Linked DNA regions of Coturnix japonica. The protein of the gene in region 1 interacts with the protein of each later gene in a pairwise test. Links are inferred from orthologs where the notes say so. Each region holds a gene or a part of one and is shown in the gene's direction. Other genes may lie near its edges. The genes, in order: EFHC1 and KCTD4.

What was found.
Region 2: the proteins of EFHC1 (region 1) and KCTD4 interact in binary tests that used the Homo sapiens proteins (3 or more experiments, as listed by UniProt). The two-hybrid records come from large-scale screens. The link is inferred for Coturnix japonica from reciprocal best matches to the Homo sapiens genes EFHC1 and KCTD4.

What each region holds. Positions count from the first base shown.
Region 1 is NC_029518.1:98,073,081-98,077,003, reverse strand, and holds the start of EFHC1 (EF-hand domain-containing protein 1), read left to right. Parts: upstream 1-899; coding exon 900-962; intron 963-2,063; exon of another isoform or gene 2,064-2,326; coding exon of another isoform or gene 2,327-2,338; intron 2,339-3,923. UniProt on the Homo sapiens protein: Microtubule inner protein (MIP) part of the dynein-decorated doublet microtubules (DMTs) in cilia axoneme, which is required for motile cilia beating.
Region 2 is NC_029516.1:150,110,140-150,114,062, reverse strand, and holds KCTD4 (BTB/POZ domain-containing protein KCTD4), read left to right. Parts: upstream 1-1,291; 5' UTR 1,292-1,791; coding exon 1,792-2,565; 3' UTR 2,566-3,342; downstream 3,343-3,923.

The sequences.
Region 1 (3,923 bases):
GGATACCTGCTGAATGATGGCTGGATCCCACACCAGGAGCAATCAGACAGACTGCTTAAGCCCCAACAACACCCACATCCAAGCCAGTTCCTCACTGTCTGCTTGCTGCCTTTCAACCCTGCTTGGCCTTCAAGTTATTATTTCCCTTTCTGAGCCCATCAGACACCTTTATCTCTCCCTGCTGCTTTTAGTCTCTCTGTGTTCCTGCTTGACTTCTGCTTACAGACTCAGATCCTGCTGCCTGCCCATGAATCACAGCCTGCTCTGTCTTACACACCAACATAAAGGCACTAAAGGGAAGAAGAAACACAAAACCCTCTTTTCTCCTTGGTGATCGACGTGACTCTCCTTATCTGTTACATTTAAGAGCAACTTTCCCACAGGATCTTTACATTTAAAGGCTTTCCTCCTTCCTATACGTGAAATCTCACACTGTGGGGGATCTGTGTCAGTGTTATAACTGGCTATTCCACAGCTAATGTGTATATATATATATATATATATATATATATAACATGGTTAATAAGCACAACCTCTTCTCCTGTGGGGTATTTTGAGAACTTGGGTAGAGTCTCACAGCTACTTTTCTCTATGAGGAGGGCAGGCCGCCCACAGCCTGGACATGTTTTCAGTCTCACATACACAGGCCCAGCTGTGAGAGCAGCACAACTACATCCTGCAACAGGGAAAGAAATACGAGGAGGAACACTTTCCACAGCCTCAAGGCAGCTGCTTTTACACACAACGGGGGTGGTGACAGCCGAGGCCCAGCCCCTCAGGGCCCTTAGCCGGGACAAGGCCGCAGCCGCCGTTAGTCTATTGAACGTGCGTATTAGGCGGGGCCTGGTGATTGCCATAGAGACAGCGTCGCTGGGAGCTGGGAGGTGAAAGCAGCCGCCATGAGCTCGGAGCCGAGGCCGGGTCTGCCCTTCCTCCCGGGCTGCTCCTTCAGGGACCCCACGGTGAGCGCAGCCCCTGCTCAGCCCAGCTCTCGGGACCCCTCAGCATCGGTACCCCCAGCCCCCGCCTGGTCTTGAAGGTAGCCCTTGCTGGAGGAGCCCTGTGAGGCTTCTGCACAGCCCAGATGCTATGGGGGACTTTCACTGACCCGTGGTTCCTTGGGGATCCTGGTGTCCTTGTTCACGCTCCCAGGGAACCTGGTACTGTCTCAGACCCTCCTCTAACTCCCCAGTGGACCTGGTATCTCCACATTCACCTTATATCTTCTCAGAGGCCTACCCTAGTCAGCTTGTGGTTTGCCCAGATCACCTCCTAATCCCCACAAGAGGTTGGGTACTTCCTCAATTAATCTGAAATCCCTGGGGGAGCTGGTATCCTGTGGATAACCTGACACCCCAGCTCACCTGATGCCCCTCAGGATATCCACCAAACTGACTCTCAAAGGGCTTGAGATCCTTATAAACTCACCCAAGGGAGCTGAAAACCACTGAACTCTTTGCCCAGGGAAGCTGGTTTTTCTCTAAGCCAACAGCTGCCTGCTGAGCTCACTCACTCCTGGGGGGGGGAATGAACTCTCTGAATCCACTTGCTTCCCCTAACCTCATCCACAGGAGCTCCCTGAGCTGTCCCAAGGCAATTTCAAGTCAAGACAAGTTCCCAGAGCAACAGATATGGCTGAGCCCAGCCTCCTTGGTGCTTTTAAATCCATCCCCAAGATGCCATTGCATCTTGCACCCATCTGATGTCCCCTTAAACTGCCCCAAAACAGAACCACTATCTGCAGACTTAACCCTGGGGATCTAGTACTCATGAATCCATTTTTTAGTTGCCCTGCCAATTCATATGGTACCAAAAGGGGAGCAGCACTCTAAAACTGACTTTATAAACAGGCAGACCACTTCTGAACCACCTCAGTTATGTGTTCTGTTTCCTTTGTGGCTCTGGACAGCCTGGTCTAGTGGCTGGCAATCCTGCACATAGCAGCGGGGTTGGAACTAGGTGGTCATTGTGATCCTTTTCAACCCAGGCCATTCTATGATTCTATGAACTTACTTCTCATTCTGGTACTGCCCTGAACCAGGACCCATACAGTCACCTGATTCTTCCATAGATGCCTTCCTTGTATTGCCTGGAGAATTTAATGCTTGATAGACCATATGAAACTGATGCTCTGGAACCTGAGAACTGAGAGTCTGGTCAGAGAACTGGTATCCCTCCACTGAGCTGATACCATTGCAGCCTCCAGAATTCTCAAGGAAGTGAAACTTCTCAGCTGTACTCACACTCCTTGGAAGAAGTAGACTCATCCTCTGCATTTGAATAGATACCTAAATAAGGAAGCAAGCTTTCCTTTTCCCCACTCACAATGGTCAACAAGGTGAGGATCTGGTAACCTCAAATCCTCCCAATATCCTCTTGCAAAAGCAAGATGAAAAGCAATACACCCTGAGTTCCTTCTAGTGCTGTTTTAGAGCAGCTGACAATTTGCATTTCCTTCTCCATGGGAAGTTAATATCTCAGATCTTGATACTGTTACTCATCTTCAACTCAGTGCTACTATAATTGCAGTTTTAGAAGCCAAAGTCTTTGAATTTTCCTGACTGCTTTGCTCAGAAGCTCACAAACTTCGGTAGGAAATGGATACAGCAGGGCATGCCTGATGTCTCTGTGGAACCTAATAGCTTTAAGAATGGGCTCCCAGTACCTAGAAAGGCCTCACTATGCTCCGGTATTGCAGGATAAGGAACATCATGCGCTTGCATCTGATCCTTGTTATGTGGGGCATGCTCCATTGCAAAACAAACAGACAAAAATCTTGGGGCATGTCTTTGATATTCCTGTTGAAAACTAACCCTTCCAGGGCAAGACCTTCTATGTCATCCTGATACCTCTTGTAGATCCTTCTCCACAAAAGAAAGACCATTGTACTAACACAGCCCTCGCTTTGGGATAAAGGATAAACCTTCTCAAGGGATGGTGAGCCCCACTGCAGGTCAGTCAAAGTTCTATCCATATCACAGAGCCTCTTAACTTCCACTGTACCAACCCCAGCGGTGCCTTCCAGCACAAACAGTCACACTGTTTTCTAAGTCAGTGACGACTGAGTTTTCAACAGTAAATGGAGTCATTCACTCATAACAAATACTCTCAATCGTGCAGTTATAAAGGTTATCTCAGCATTATTCTCAGTAACCACTTGGAAATTTACAATGCAAATCTCTGCCCCTAGCAAAATATTATTTCTTCTATCAGCAAAACCCCACCTGCTTTAGTCATGTGCGTGCTTCTACTGACATCAGTGGCGCTGTGTGCAGAAGAAACACCCAGAGGATTTAGCAGATCAGATTGTTATTTCAGAGTAACTGGAAGTATTGCCCTACTGGTGATGTTTAAGTCGATCTGCACTCCAGAAATGTCTTTGCAATGTTGCTCAGTGAGTGTTATCACCTCACTTTGCCTCTATGTTCCAGCCTATAAAATGATCAGCAAGATACTTGTTTTCTATGTGAATTTGGAGACATGCTGTAAAAAAACCTCTGCATTCAGATAAGATAACGTAGTTAGTTACTGGTTATTCAGATGCACTCTAACGAACTGAGACCCTGGGAGGAGAAGCAGTGTTTATATGAAGCTCTACAGACATGGCAAGAAATACTTAATTCAGTAGCATTTCTCCAATATGGGCTGGCAGCAACTGAGATTAGGAGTTTACATTCTGGGTTTTCCCTTTCAGTTTTGCATTACTCACCTGATATTGTGAGATGTAGCCTGGCGTTCATGCCCTTAAAAGCCTGTGTGCTTCTGACAAGCGCTGATATTGCCAATCTAAGGACAAACTCCTTGGTTTTCATTGAATGTTTCCCTTGGTATTTATTGAACAGAAAGGAATGGCAATCCTGTGGCAGGGCTGCTGTTTATGAAACATTCTGTTAACGTGTCTCCAGTAAACTATCTTGTTTTCA
Region 2 (3,923 bases), on another chromosome or scaffold:
TATAAGCACATTAGCTGAATTTTCCATCACTGGATAACAAATTTAATTTCAATGGGAGTCTCTTGCAATGACAAAAAAAAATATAAATTAAATCAAACTATTCCAGCCTTTCACTTTCTTGATTATTCTCTCGATAAATGTGAATGGTGTTGACTTTGAAAAAAAAAAAAAGTTTAAATGTTTAAAAATCAGAAAGTGGTTGAAATTTAGCAATGCTAAATGGTCCCAAAGAGTTAACATTAAAGCCATGACTAATTCCTGATAAAATCAATCTAATGAATAATATCTGTTTAATGTATCACACACAGCAGCAGAAAAAAACTGAGTATCAGTGGTAGGGATACCCTGGCAAGGCTGAATAGCAGATTTAAAAAGTGCATTTATTTGTACTAGGTTTAATTACCAATTAATAAAATATTATAGTGATGATTCTACAGTATCGATAAACAGCCTTAGAGACAGCGGGAACAGTATGAGTAATATCTTTAGAAACAGAGAAATTCACAGAAGGATCATCTGACTTTCTGTTGTTTATTGGGCAAAGCAAGAGGAATCCACCTGTAGAAGTGAAAAACTCTGGACAAAGATGGGTTCGGCTCCCCCTGGCCAGCCCAACGTTGTGCTCACTACTCACAGTGCTCACTGCTCACACTGCTCTGGATGCACACGGTGCCTCCCACCCCCTGGTTCCCCCTGGCCCCAGGAAATGTATGTACAGATGTATGCAGAGCCTTCCCCTCCCTGCTTAAAGGGGAAACCTTTCCTTATAAAGAAGCCCAAGAGCCAACCTCAGCGCAGCTTCACAGAGAGGAGACAGCCATTTGATTGTAGCACGCTCTGCCGCTGCTCCCCCCATACACAAGTGTTGCTAAGCTGTAACGTTATGTGATGTTCAGCACGCTGTCTGTGAGCACACTAACCCTTTGTTCACAGGGCAGCCGATGCTGCTATTGAAAAAGAAAGAATTGATGCTACTTAGTGACTTAAGAAACAGCACGCATGTGAACAGCAAACCGCTCTCCTCTCCAAAACAATTTTTATCTATGGCACAGATAAAGCTAAACCTCATTAGGCTGCAATGCTTGTATTGGTGCGGATGCTTCCATCAGATGAAAATGGAAGCTTTCATCACAAACTTAAACGCACCAGACAGACAAGCCTTCAGCATCACTTCTAAAGTAACAGTGTGAAAACATCTCAGCGCCACACACACACGTCCTATATGTGAGGAATAACCAGAACTGATACCTCTCTGCGTACTACTAGGGATGCCTTCACCTTCAGTGCTGCCCTGTTGTACGCTCAGGTACCACAGATAATACAAGGAAAATGTAAAAATAAGCTCTGTGCAAACTGAGATCCTTGCACCATAAATGAAGTAGAGTGTTTAACTCCAGAAGCATTACACACGATTTGGCCAGCTGATACTACAAACGCGTCGCAAAGCATTAAAAACAAGGTGCCCTTTAGAATAGCATTACTCATTTCTGTGTGGAACCCTCAAAACTCTGTAAACTTCCAAGGTGTAAGGACGGAAAGAGAAGTGGTTTTTATCCCCTCCTTCCCTCACACAGTTAAATGCAAATTCCCTCTACAGTCATATTCCTGCCATCTCCCTGCATACACAGCTGATACGCCACCTACTGCAAAACCCAGCTGACAGCCCGAGCAATGCTAGCAGCATTTCCATTCCAACATCGTGCCAGAGCCGAAGAAAGGTGCTCTTAAATCAAAATCTCTCCCTTTTCAAGCTGACAAGAACAAAGCAAGATCGCTGTGCTCGCTTCGATAATGGAGAGAAAATCAAACAGAAGAGCAAAGGAATCTGAAGAAAACCACAGCAACTTCGAGGGCTCTGAGCAAGACAAGGACTATAAAACGTCTCTGGTTACTCTGAACGTTGGCGGCTATCTGTACATCACACAAAAACAAACATTAACCAAGTACCCAGATTCTTTCCTCGAAGGTATAATCAATGGAAAAATAATGTGCCCTTTCGATGCGGATGGACATTACTTCATAGACAGAGATGGACTCCTGTTCAGACACATTCTGAACTTCCTCCGAAATGGAGAACTTCTTCTACCGGAAGGGTTTCGAGAAAATCAACTTCTGGCACACGAAGCAGATTTCTTTCAGCTGAAAGTCTTATCGGATGCAGTAAAATCGAGGTGGGAGAAGGAGCAGCTCGCGTCTCGAGAGACCACTTTCCTGGAAATAACTGACAGCCACGACCGCTCGCAGGGGCTCCGGATCTTTTGTAACGCTCCTGATTTCATAGCAAAAATTAAATCCCGAATCGTACTGGTGTCCAAAAGCAGGCTGGATGGATTTCCAGAGGAGTTTTCAGTCTCTTCCAATATAATTCAATTCAAATACTTCATAAAGTCTGAAAATGGTACGCGACTTGTGCTGAAGGAGGACAACACCTTCGTCTGTACCCTGGAAACTCTTAAGTTTGAGGCAATTATGATGGCTTTAAAATGTGGATTCAGACTGCTGACCAGCCTGGATTGTTCCAAAGGGTCTATTGTTCACAGCGATGCACTTCATTTTATCAAGTAATTACAAAGGCAGAGGAAACAAGCATGCAGTCGGCAGACCTCCTTTAACGGCAGCGTCCTGGCATCACAGATCTCGTATCTAACCAGCCCTGTACCACACAGCTCGGCTGCTAATCAGTTAATGTGAGCTAATGGTATGTAAATCTCGTAACGACATCCATCTCCGGCTTATTCGAGCTGAGTGAAATTTTTATTCAATTCAAGCATCAAATTTATCTGCTAACCACTGTAAACAGAGACCGAACGCTTTCTGGTATTTGTACTATGTTTTTTTTTTTCATGCTGTCTTTCAACCGGGAAGTCTGGCTGAATTTCTGTGTACTTGTATGACTAACACGCATACACCTCACTGCTCTGTCGAGCAGCACAGAGACTGTTCTCATACAACAGGCAGGCTCACGATATGTTCTGCTGCTCCTCATGAATTCAGAATGGATTTTAACTGGAATAAATGATTTTCAGTGTTCCTTAGTGTTGATGCTAATTTGTTTTTATGACGAGTTTGCAAAAAAAAACACATGAAATTGAAAGAGGGTTTAAAATTAATCTGCTCGATTCTGAAGTCAAACAACTCTGATTTCAGCTCTCTTAAAAAGAAATTTACAGCTGTGCTACTACATTAATAGCAACTGCTAAGAACATGTCAGCCAACCAGTAATGCTGGGGGGTCTGTTTTATTATGGAAAATGAATTCACTCTAAAGAGAATGTTGCATTTTTCTGGTTATATATGTTTATCAGATGGCTAATAAAAATGTTTGGCATAAAATTTCATGTAACAGGTTTCCAACAATTTTGTGTAACAGGTTTCCAACCTCCTACAGTGCTGAAGGCACTATTTTCTACTAATCAATCATTGGTGATCATAAAGAGAGGCAATTAGCAGAGCACAACAGCCTACCAAAAGCAGGTAGTGGTATTAGTTTTGAATAGATCACCTGCTAGCATTTAGGAAGCATTAATATGAGCGGTGGAACAAATACCTTCTTTCTCCTCATGTGCACAGTTTATTACATCTTCCTGTTTGTATTTTAAACAAAGTTTACAAACCAGTCACTCCACAAAAGCCAGCTGAAAAATCATCACATAATGCAAATGGAAGCTGTACAAACACCGAGTTTAAGCTTTGACCATCGGTGAACTCTATCATCACACAGAGCTCAAATGAACCCAAAACTCAAGTGAAATGCTATTAGAGAAAGTAAACCCAGGCAAGTGGTTTCTTAGCTTTCCCAGAATACCTGCTTTGTACAGAAAGCCAACATTAAGAATGCACAAAGAAAATGCAATCTAATCCATGCCAAAGTGACAACTGAGGAAAACAGACAATATCTGGTAGGATGATAGGATAAGAACAGTC